Saccharomyces cerevisiae S288C: one gene and its partners. The protein of the gene in region 1 interacts with the protein of each later gene in a biochemical or structural test. Each region holds a gene or a part of one and is shown in the gene's direction. Other genes may lie near its edges.

Region 1 (4,765 bases):
TAAAATGCATTTGCCGTCACATTCTGTGTGCGGTTGCTGGGTGCTGTAAACAAGCTAAAGAAATTTCGCTATCGAACTTAAAGAACAACGCAGTACACTAGTTGGGAGTGAAAACAGTATCATAGAGTGTGTATGGGAGAGAGAAAGAGTTAGATACTAGTAGTATGGAAGGTGAACAGTCTCCGCAAGGTGAAAAGTCTCTGCAAAGGAAGCAATTTGTCAGACCTCCGCTGGATCTGTGGCAGGATCTCAAGGACGGTGTGCGCTACGTGATCTTCGATTGTAGGGCCAATCTTATCGTTATGCCCCTTTTGATTTTGTTCGAAAGCATGCTGTGCAAGATTATCATTAAGAAGGTAGCTTACACAGAGATCGATTACAAGGCGTACATGGAGCAGATCGAGATGATTCAGCTCGATGGCATGCTGGACTACTCTCAGGTGAGTGGTGGAACGGGCCCGCTGGTGTATCCAGCAGGCCACGTCTTGATCTACAAGATGATGTACTGGCTAACAGAGGGAATGGACCACGTTGAGCGCGGGCAAGTGTTTTTCAGATACTTGTATCTCCTTACACTGGCGTTACAAATGGCGTGTTACTACCTTTTACATCTACCACCGTGGTGTGTGGTCTTGGCGTGCCTCTCTAAAAGATTGCACTCTATTTACGTGCTACGGTTATTCAATGATTGCTTCACTACTTTGTTTATGGTCGTCACGGTTTTGGGGGCTATCGTGGCCAGCAGGTGCCATCAGCGCCCCAAATTAAAGAAGTCCCTTGCGCTGGTGATCTCCGCAACATACAGTATGGCTGTGAGCATTAAGATGAATGCGCTGTTGTATTTCCCTGCAATGATGATTTCTCTATTCATCCTTAATGACGCGAACGTAATCCTTACTTTGTTGGATCTCGTTGCGATGATTGCATGGCAAGTCGCAGTTGCAGTGCCCTTCCTGCGCAGCTTTCCGCAACAGTACCTGCATTGCGCTTTTAATTTCGGCAGGAAGTTTATGTACCAATGGAGTATCAATTGGCAAATGATGGATGAAGAGGCTTTCAATGATAAGAGGTTCCACTTGGCCCTTTTAATCAGCCACCTGATAGCGCTCACCACACTGTTCGTCACAAGATACCCTCGCATCCTGCCCGATTTATGGTCTTCCCTGTGCCATCCGCTGAGGAAAAATGCAGTGCTCAATGCCAATCCCGCCAAGACTATTCCATTCGTTCTAATCGCATCCAACTTCATCGGCGTCCTATTTTCAAGGTCCCTCCACTACCAGTTTCTATCCTGGTATCACTGGACTTTGCCTATACTGATCTTTTGGTCGGGAATGCCCTTCTTCGTTGGTCCCATTTGGTACGTCTTGCACGAGTGGTGCTGGAATTCCTATCCACCAAACTCACAAGCAAGCACGCTATTGTTGGCATTGAATACTGTTCTGTTGCTTCTATTGGCCTTGACGCAGCTATCTGGTTCGGTCGCCCTCGCCAAAAGCCATCTTCGTACCACCAGCTCTATGGAAAAAAAGCTCAACTGAAACAGATGTATAAATATCATATAATCGTATTGTTTTAAATCATTTCTTTATACCATCTATATAGTACTACTAGTATTTAATGGTGCCGTTATTACCCGCGCTTGATTTTCCTTTTTTTTTTTGATCAAAAGGATGGAACAGGCTGAAAGTAAACCAAAAGGATCAAAGTGCAAGCAAAGGTGCCACAGAAAAGTTTATCAAAAAACCATACCTAGCTGTGAGAGTTTTAGACTCTGTTTTGGTGACTGCATATCTATTCATAAATCGACACGAACTTTTCGTGCAGGATACATAATAAAAATAGCATGGCGGTAAATCCTGAGTTAGCACCGTTCACCCTCTCGAGAGGAATCCCCAGCTTTGATGATCAAGCTTTGAGCACCATCATACAGCTTCAGGACTGCATTCAGCAGGCTATTCAGCAGTTGAACTACAGTACCGCAGAGTTTTTGGCCGAACTGCTCTATGCTGAATGCTCCATTCTCGATAAATCAAGTGTTTACTGGTCCGATGCGGTATATTTATATGCACTTTCGCTGTTTCTGAATAAAAGCTACCACACTGCGTTCCAGATATCCAAAGAATTCAAGGAGTATCATCTTGGTATCGCTTACATATTCGGGCGTTGTGCTTTACAGCTTTCGCAGGGAGTTAACGAAGCTATCCTCACTCTTCTCTCAATAATAAATGTATTTTCTTCGAACAGCAGTAATACGCGCATAAATATGGTGTTGAATTCTAATCTCGTCCATATTCCCGATTTGGCCACTTTGAATTGCCTGTTAGGCAATCTTTATATGAAACTGGACCATTCTAAGGAGGGAGCATTTTATCATTCTGAAGCATTAGCCATTAATCCTTACCTTTGGGAATCTTACGAAGCGATTTGTAAAATGAGAGCTACCGTGGATCTCAAGAGGGTTTTTTTCGACATTGCAGGGAAAAAAAGTAATAGTCATAATAATAATGCAGCTTCATCGTTTCCGTCTACATCACTATCGCATTTCGAACCTCGTTCACAACCTAGCTTATATTCAAAAACAAACAAAAACGGCAATAATAATATCAATAATAATGTTAATACACTGTTTCAGTCGTCTAATTCTCCCCCTTCTACATCGGCATCTTCTTTTTCTTCCATTCAGCATTTCTCAAGGTCACAGCAGCAACAAGCGAACACATCAATAAGGACCTGCCAGAACAAAAATACTCAAACTCCTAAAAACCCTGCAATCAACAGTAAGACGTCTTCTGCGCTACCAAATAACATTTCCATGAACTTAGTGTCTCCATCCTCCAAACAGCCTACAATAAGCTCGTTGGCCAAAGTTTATAACAGAAACAAACTTTTAACGACTCCTCCATCGAAACTGTTAAATAACGATAGGAACCACCAAAATAACAATAATAATAATAATAATAATAATAATAATAATAATAATAATAATAATAATAATAATAATAATAACATTATAAATAAAACAACTTTCAAAACTCCAAGAAACCTATATTCCTCAACAGGAAGGTTAACAACTTCCAAGAAAAATCCAAGGTCTTTAATAATCAGTAACTCAATACTAACGAGTGATTATTCAATTACGCTGCCTGAAATCATGTATAATTTCGCTTTAATATTAAGGTCGTCATCACAATACAATTCGTTCAAGGCAATAAGACTGTTCGAGTCTCAAATCCCATCTCATATTAAAGACACAATGCCATGGTGTCTAGTGCAATTAGGAAAACTTCATTTTGAGATCATTAATTATGATATGTCCTTAAAGTATTTCAATAGATTGAAAGACCTACAACCGGCAAGGGTAAAAGATATGGAAATTTTTTCTACTTTGCTGTGGCATTTGCATGACAAGGTTAAATCTTCAAATTTGGCAAATGGGCTAATGGATACAATGCCTAATAAGCCCGAAACATGGTGTTGTATAGGTAATTTGCTATCATTGCAAAAGGATCATGATGCCGCAATAAAAGCCTTCGAAAAAGCTACTCAGTTAGACCCAAATTTTGCATACGCGTATACTTTGCAAGGTCATGAACATTCTTCCAACGATTCTTCGGATTCTGCCAAGACATGCTATAGAAAGGCGCTAGCTTGTGATCCTCAGCATTACAATGCATATTACGGATTGGGTACGAGCGCTATGAAATTAGGTCAATATGAAGAAGCGTTGTTATATTTTGAAAAGGCAAGGTCAATTAATCCCGTCAATGTTGTGTTAATCTGTTGTTGCGGTGGTTCTTTAGAAAAGCTGGGCTATAAGGAAAAGGCTCTACAATATTATGAACTAGCATGTCATTTGCAACCGACTTCCTCGCTATCCAAATATAAGATGGGCCAGTTGCTCTATTCCATGACAAGATATAATGTTGCTTTGCAAACTTTTGAAGAATTGGTGAAACTCGTTCCTGATGATGCCACAGCCCATTATTTGCTGGGTCAAACATATAGAATAGTTGGGAGGAAAAAAGATGCAATCAAGGAGCTAACTGTTGCTATGAATTTGGATCCAAAGGGTAACCAAGTTATCATCGATGAATTACAAAAATGTCATATGCAAGAATAAACGCAGGTTGGCCAAAACATAACAAATTGAAACATGTTAAATGTTTTCATAATTCTTTTTGTTCTTCGTTGTTTCATATTTATTTTTAAGTTAATGTAATAGTAATAGTTAATAATAATAACGTTAATGGTAACAATAATAATAATATATATATCCAGTAATTTGAAAGAAGAGGACATCATGTCTGCGGTTCCTGCGATGTACTTCTTGATAGTATCAGTGTCTAATTTGATTGTATTAATTCGTAAACTTTTTATTTTTATATACTTTATATCACTATATTATGTTCTATTAAATATTAATTATTAAGGTGTTTAAGTTGGTCAAGAAGTAACTAATGATTGCAGTTCTCAAAGTCTGCCACCAGGGTATTCAAATGCTGAACTTTCCAGGTAATCGCTGGTCTCAAATTGATCTTGTTCGATTGGATAATTAGAATTTCTTTTATTTTGGGTGTCATCCCATCCAAATTGATCTCTTCCCTCTTCCTCTTCAGCATCTCTTAACTGGGTTTGTAACCTAGCTTCTTCCAATAGCGTCTGTGCCTTGCTTAGAGGTATCGTTGGTGTGGCATATGAACTAATGACAGGGACGCTTGTATCAATATCAATAGTGGCCTTTATTATGGCTGACAGCCATGCC
Region 2 (3,530 bases), on another chromosome or scaffold:
ACTGCGCCTCTAAAACATAAGGCGGCACTGTGGTAGGCACAAACGTGTAAGTATTTAATTTTGGATAGTCTAGTGGTGAACCATCACTGTGTTTGGGAACATGTATCTTTGCATTCTGTAATGCTTCCAGTGAACCTGACTTCCTTACTGTTTGATTTTTTTCAAGATCCACGTTTAAATTAAGTTGATTTTGATCTGCGATTCTAGAAGCGTTCGTGGATGTTGTATCAGAATACGCTTCTTGGCTGGAATTAGAATCCCCCATTAAATTTGTCAGTGTAAAAAAAAAGAACGCCTCAAAAAATGCAAAAAAATATCATTCACTTTCCCTTCTCAGCAATCTCACGGTTTCGAAATAGCAATCAAAGTATTTTTATAATTGACTAAACAAAAGGTGGTTGGAGACTTTGTGTTGTAGCTTAGAATTTCTTCCACTATATGAAAGCCAAGACCTCTTCTCCTCTTTCGACACTTCGTTTATTTCCACTTTCCCTTATTTAGTATTCATCGTTCAGAATGCTTTCTTTATTTCACGACGGTTACCACACCCGTACACCCTTATCTCATTTCACCAGTACCTTTCCTTATTAGATTCATCTTATTTTATTTTAGGATTTTTAGGTCATTGTACGACGCGTGTCGCACCATGGAAAAGGTGTCGCAGCTGCGATGCTATCCATTTACCCGTCATCATTGCTGGCAGAAATCCCATCTTCCTCTGCTGGGGTGATTTATATATATGGAGAGTTAACGAATGTAATATTTCTGAATGTTAAATAATTGTTATCCGTCATTATTGTTTCACTTCTCTCTTTGAAATTTCGCTTGTTTTCTGTTTTCATCTTATATTTTACTTCAATCCTAAGATAGTCATATCGACTTAATTCCAAATGAGAGCTAAGTGGAGAAAGAAGAGAACTAGAAGACTTAAGAGAAAGAGACGGAAGGTGAGAGCCAGATCCAAATAAGCGGATTGAGAGCAAATCGTTAAGTTCAGGTCAAGTAAAAATTGATTTCGAAAACTAATTTCTCTTATACAATCCTTTGATTGGACCGTCATCCTTTCGAATATAAGATTTTGTTAAGAATATTTTAGACAGAGATCTACTTTATATTTAATATCTAGATATTACATAATTTCCTCTCTAATAAAATATCATTAATAAAATAAAAATGAAGCGATTTGATTTTGTGTTGTCAACTTAGTTTGCCGCTATGCCTCTTGGGTAATGCTATTATTGAATCGAAGGGCTTTATTATATTACCCTTTAGCTTATTCTGAGGTTTCTGTGGCGTGCAAAGTGATGAACCGGGCGGGTTTTAAGGATAAAATCAAAAAGTGAAAAAATGAACGGAAAATGGAATACCTGTGAAATGGAGAATGATAATGAATCTTTCTGTCGTGCTTGAAAGATTTTCGGCTATTTTAATCGACTAACACATAGTAGTAGAAATAGTTTTCCGGATTACATTAGTTCGGCATTCTTTTTAGCAGGTTTTTGTTACAGGTTCCTTTCGACGCACCGTTTCACAGTAAAGGAGGTAATTAGTGAATCAGACGCTGCACTTTCATTGATTTTGATATACACATACTCCAATTAGTTTTAGTGTAAATTAAATTGCCCCAGTGGACACGATATTTACAAAAAGTGTTTTATTCTTCTTAGAAATACACCTGTTGGACTGCTCTTTTTTCACTCGTCTTCCCCTAGTTTTCTTTCCTTACCAGTAATTTAGTAAGAGTTTAGTGAGTTCAGGTTGAATAGAGTTATTATCTAATTTTAAACTGTTAATTTTACCGGTTGTGTTTTTTGAAATAAGGCAAAAGAGAAAGAAAAAAACAAATTATTTTGCCCCTATTTAGTTCATAGTGGAAAGAGGGATATAAATTATCGCATAAAACAATAAACAAAAAGAAAAATGGATACAGATTTAGATGTGCCTATGCAAGATGCTGTTACCGAACAGCTGACTCCCACAGTATCTGAAGATATGGATCTCAACAACAATTCATCGGATAATAATGCAGAAGAATTCTCGGTTGATGATTTAAAACCTGGTTCCTCGGGCATAGCAGATCACAAATCTTCCAAACCACTAGAACTGAATAACACAAATATAAATCAGCTTGACCAATGGATTGAGCATTTGAGTAAATGCGAGCCACTATCAGAAGACGATGTAGCACGACTATGTAAAATGGCGGTGGACGTGTTGCAGTTCGAGGAGAATGTTAAACCAATTAACGTGCCTGTTACCATTTGTGGTGACGTACACGGTCAATTCCATGACTTGTTAGAACTTTTTAAGATTGGTGGCCCTTGTCCTGACACCAATTACCTTTTCATGGGTGATTACGTGGATAGAGGATATTATTCTGTTGAAACTGTATCTTACCTAGTTGCCATGAAAGTCAGATACCCACATAGAATTACGATACTGAGAGGCAATCACGAGTCTAGGCAGATTACCCAAGTATACGGGTTTTATGATGAATGTTTGAGAAAGTACGGCAGTGCAAACGTGTGGAAAATGTTCACAGATCTTTTCGATTATTTTCCTATAACCGCATTAGTAGATAATAAAATTTTCTGTCTGCATGGAGGACTTTCCCCCATGATAGAAACCATAGATCAGGTGAGAGAGTTGAACAGAATACAGGAAGTGCCTCATGAAGGTCCTATGTGTGACCTTCTATGGTCAGACCCTGACGATAGAGGCGGATGGGGAATCAGTCCCAGAGGTGCAGGCTTCACTTTTGGACAAGATGTCAGTGAGCAATTCAATCACACTAATGATCTATCACTAATAGCAAGAGCTCACCAATTGGTAATGGAAGGCTATGCTTGGTCTCACCAGCAAAATGTTGTCACCATTTTCAGTGCTCCTAATTACTGCTACAGATGTGGTAATCAAGCAGCTATCATGGAAGTGGACGAGAATCATAATAGACAATTCTTACAGTACGACCCATCCGTAAGACCAGGTGAACCTAGCGTCAGCAGAAAGACGCCAGATTACTTTTTATGAGTATGTATACATATATGCATCTATATAGATATATATTCACTTTTCTCCTTTACCATTATCATAGTTAATTACACATTTAGCCAAAAATAAACTGCAAATTGCCTTGCAAATTTTCTTCTTTTATTATTCTTCAGATATATCAATCAATACGAGGCTTTTTTTCCTCCCCAACGCTTTAATCATTCTGATCATTACTCCGGGTGAAACGGTTCTCTAACGCGATCGTTTAAATTTCGCGATAGATCAGGGAAACGTTATAAAGATTGAGTGGAAAGAACTTCCATTCTTCAGGCTGCTTGTATTACTTTGATTCTTTTTCTAGCCACACGAATAACTCGAGTATTGAGCTTTTTTATTAGAGAAAAACTGAATAATGGCCGAAGAAAGTACCGACTTTAGTCAATTCGAAGAGGAGAGAAACAACGATCAGTATAAAGTTTCAGCCAAAAAAACTGTTGACGAATACAAAAATCTGGATGCTGAAGACGAATCCTTGGCGA
Region 3 (3,229 bases), 490 kb from region 1:
TAATTCTACACACTTCTTAACTGATAATATTATTATAATTGTAACTTTTTAGCAGCACTAAATTTAATGAATACATAGATTTTTAACTAGCATTTTACTATTCTGTACTTTTTACTTGAAATTCCAGAAGGGCCGAAGAAACCAGAATTCCTTCACAGAAAACTATTGAACTACAGAATTCTCCAAAAGATACACTCATAGTGTTAAGACGAATCAATGTCTCGGATTTGGAAGTCCTTTATAGAGATAATTGTAGGGGCCTTTTGTAATGTTTCGGATGTTCTGTTTTAAGTCCGCGGGAGGCCTTTTTATTTTTCGCTTTTTTAGAGATTTCACGAATAAAAGCGTTGCAGAAATGCAACTTCAAAAGAGACTGAAGGAAACACAGATAGAAGAACAGTCTTCAAAGCAATCAATTCGTGTCGGTGCAGCTTAAGAAATGACTTTTATGCAACAGCTTCAAGAGGCTGGGGAAAGATTTAGGTGTATCAATGGTCTTTTATGGGTTGTTTTTGGGCTTGGTGTCTTAAAATGTACAACGTTATCACTTAGATTTTTAGCTCTTATTTTTGATCTTTTTTTACTACCAGCAGTCAATTTCGACAAGTATGGTGCTAAAACTGGTAAATACTGTGCTATCACTGGTGCAAGTGACGGTATTGGTAAAGAATTTGCTAGACAAATGGCGAAACGTGGCTTCAACTTGGTATTGATCTCGAGAACGCAATCTAAATTGGAGGCTTTACAAAAAGAACTAGAAGATCAACATCATGTCGTTGTAAAGATTCTAGCCATTGACATTGCGGAGGATAAAGAATCCAACTATGAATCCATTAAGGAATTGTGTGCGCAGTTACCAATCACCGTTTTGGTCAATAATGTTGGTCAATCACACTCCATTCCTGTTCCATTTTTGGAAACAGAAGAGAAGGAGCTTAGAAATATTATCACTATCAATAACACTGCTACATTATTAATTACACAAATCATTGCACCAAAGATTGTGGAAACTGTGAAAGCTGAAAACAAGAAGTCGGGTACTCGTGGTTTGATCTTAACCATGGGCTCATTTGGTGGTCTGATTCCCACCCCACTTTTGGCTACATACAGTGGTTCGAAATCATTCTTACAAGGTTGGTCTAACTCTTTGGCTGGGGAATTATCTAAAGATGCTATCGATGTTGAATTAATCATTTCATATTTGGTCACTAGCTCGATGTCTAAAATCAGAAGATCATCTTTAATGATCCCAAATCCACAACAGTTTGTAAAATCCACTTTAAGAAGCGTTGGCAGACGCTGCGGCTCTCAAGAAAGATACGCTACTATGACCCCTTACTGGGCGCACGCAGTGTATCAATTTGTAATTACAGAGACCTTTGGCGTTTACTCTAAGATTGTTAACTCCATTAATTATTCCTTCCATAAATCTATCAGAATTAGAGCCTTAAAAAAAGCCGCAAGACAGGTTAAAAAGGAATAGAATTATCGTTCTCGAGATAGTTTTTATACAATACATATATATATATATATATATATATTTACAAGAAAAGCATGGCTTATGTATTATACTTGCTTATGTACCAATATATACATATATGGCCTTATTAGGGCAACAAACGCCAAAAATAAAAACGAACCTAAATGAGAAAAAAAGAGAAAAATTTGGAAAACAACAAGAACTCAAAAAAAAAAATTGGTGGAAGGACCAAGTCCTCTTGAAAGAAAATTTAATACTGCTTTTCCAGAATATCATATTGGAAAAAATATTCAAGCCAGCACATCAGCTACAGTGGAAAATAGCCCAGATCAAATAGAACTATCCTTCGAACATGAGCGGTGAATTAGCAAATTACAAAAGACTTGAGAAAGTCGGTGAAGGTACATACGGTGTTGTTTATAAAGCGTTAGACTTAAGACCTGGCCAAGGTCAAAGAGTAGTCGCATTGAAGAAAATAAGACTAGAGAGTGAAGACGAGGGTGTTCCCAGTACAGCCATCAGAGAAATCTCATTATTGAAGGAATTAAAAGACGATAATATTGTCAGATTATACGATATTGTTCACTCTGATGCACACAAGCTATATCTTGTTTTTGAGTTCCTCGATTTGGACCTGAAAAGATATATGGAGGGTATTCCAAAGGACCAACCGTTAGGAGCTGATATTGTTAAGAAGTTTATGATGCAACTTTGTAAGGGTATTGCATACTGCCACTCACACCGTATTCTGCATCGTGATTTAAAACCGCAGAACTTATTGATTAACAAAGATGGGAATCTAAAACTAGGTGATTTTGGCTTAGCGCGTGCTTTTGGTGTTCCGTTGAGAGCTTACACACATGAAATTGTTACTCTATGGTATAGAGCTCCGGAGGTATTACTGGGTGGAAAACAATATAGTACAGGTGTCGATACATGGTCCATCGGCTGTATATTTGCCGAAATGTGTAACAGGAAACCAATCTTCAGTGGCGATAGTGAGATCGATCAGATTTTCAAGATATTCAGAGTATTGGGAACGCCGAATGAAGCTATATGGCCAGATATTGTCTACTTGCCTGATTTCAAGCCAAGCTTTCCTCAATGGCGCAGAAAAGACCTATCACAAGTGGTACCAAGTCTAGATCCACGCGGTATTGATTTGTTGGACAAACTCCTCGCGTATGACCCTATTAACCGGATTAGCGCCAGAAGAGCAGCCATCCACCCCTACTTCCAAGAATCATAAGCATTATAATCTATTTCGCTATTATATTACAAATGCTACTGCACTGTCATTATAGCCTAGTAAAGTATATAGTGAATACAATATACTCAGTTTCAACATTATGATGGGTAACTCCATCAGAAAATATATTCATCGTCATATACGGAACATTCAGTTATACGCGAAAGTAAAAGTGAGAGCTTTTCAGGGGTTAAAAGCTGGGCGTGTTCCATGACGTATTTACCGAGGTCGTATTATCAAAGAAAATGAAAAAAAAAAAAAAAAAAAAAAAAGCGAAGAGGAAAAAGACAAACGAAAAACAAAACGAAATAACGCATTGTATGCTGGGGCCTCAATTGAACTTCTTTGACTATAAGGAGTTCGCTTGTTTAAAGCCGTTTCGCATCTGACTCGCCCTTGGTTTTTTTCTCTGTTCTTGTTTTTGACCTCCGCAAATTCATTGCTCTTTGAATTTTGAAGAGTTTCATTGTCACCGTTGAATAACCGAGACGGGTATTGTT

Evidence for each region. The genes of interacting proteins can lie anywhere in the genome.
Region 2: of the proteins of CDC27 (region 1) and PPH21, one has a biochemical effect on the other in vitro, tested with the Saccharomyces cerevisiae proteins (one study listed by BioGRID).
Region 3: of the proteins of CDC27 (region 1) and CDC28, one has a biochemical effect on the other in vitro, tested with the Saccharomyces cerevisiae proteins (4 studies listed by BioGRID).

What each region holds. Positions count from the first base shown.
Region 1 is NC_001134.8:66,527-71,291, reverse strand, and holds CDC27 (anaphase promoting complex subunit CDC27), read left to right. Parts: upstream 1-1,846; coding exon 1,847-4,123; downstream 4,124-4,765. Other genes in the region: ALG3 (dolichyl-P-Man:Man(5)GlcNAc(2)-PP-dolichol alpha-1,3-mannosyltransferase), read left to right, coding at 165-1,541; BOI1 (Boi1p), read right to left, coding at 4,474-4,765. UniProt on the Saccharomyces cerevisiae protein: Component of the anaphase promoting complex/cyclosome (APC/C), a cell cycle-regulated E3 ubiquitin-protein ligase complex that controls progression through mitosis and the G1 phase of the cell cycle.
Region 2 is NC_001136.10:219,162-222,691, reverse strand, and holds PPH21 (phosphoprotein phosphatase 2A catalytic subunit PPH21), read left to right. Parts: upstream 1-1,920; coding exon 1,921-3,030; downstream 3,031-3,530. Other genes in the region: SRF1 (phospholipase D regulator), read right to left, coding at 1-265; 60S ribosomal protein eL41 RPL41B, read left to right, coding at 891-968; RDI1 (Rdi1p), read left to right, coding at 3,404-3,530. UniProt on the Saccharomyces cerevisiae protein: Exact function not known, phosphatase 2A performs an essential cellular function.
Region 3 is NC_001134.8:558,246-561,474, forward strand, and holds CDC28 (cyclin-dependent serine/threonine-protein kinase CDC28), read left to right. Parts: upstream 1-1,832; coding exon 1,833-2,729; downstream 2,730-3,229. Other genes in the region: IFA38 (ketoreductase), read left to right, coding at 440-1,483. UniProt on the Saccharomyces cerevisiae protein: Cyclin-dependent kinase that acts as a master regulator of the mitotic and meiotic cell cycles. Required to drive the G1-S transition. More than 200 substrates have been identified. Substrate specificity is in part regulated by the bound cyclin protein.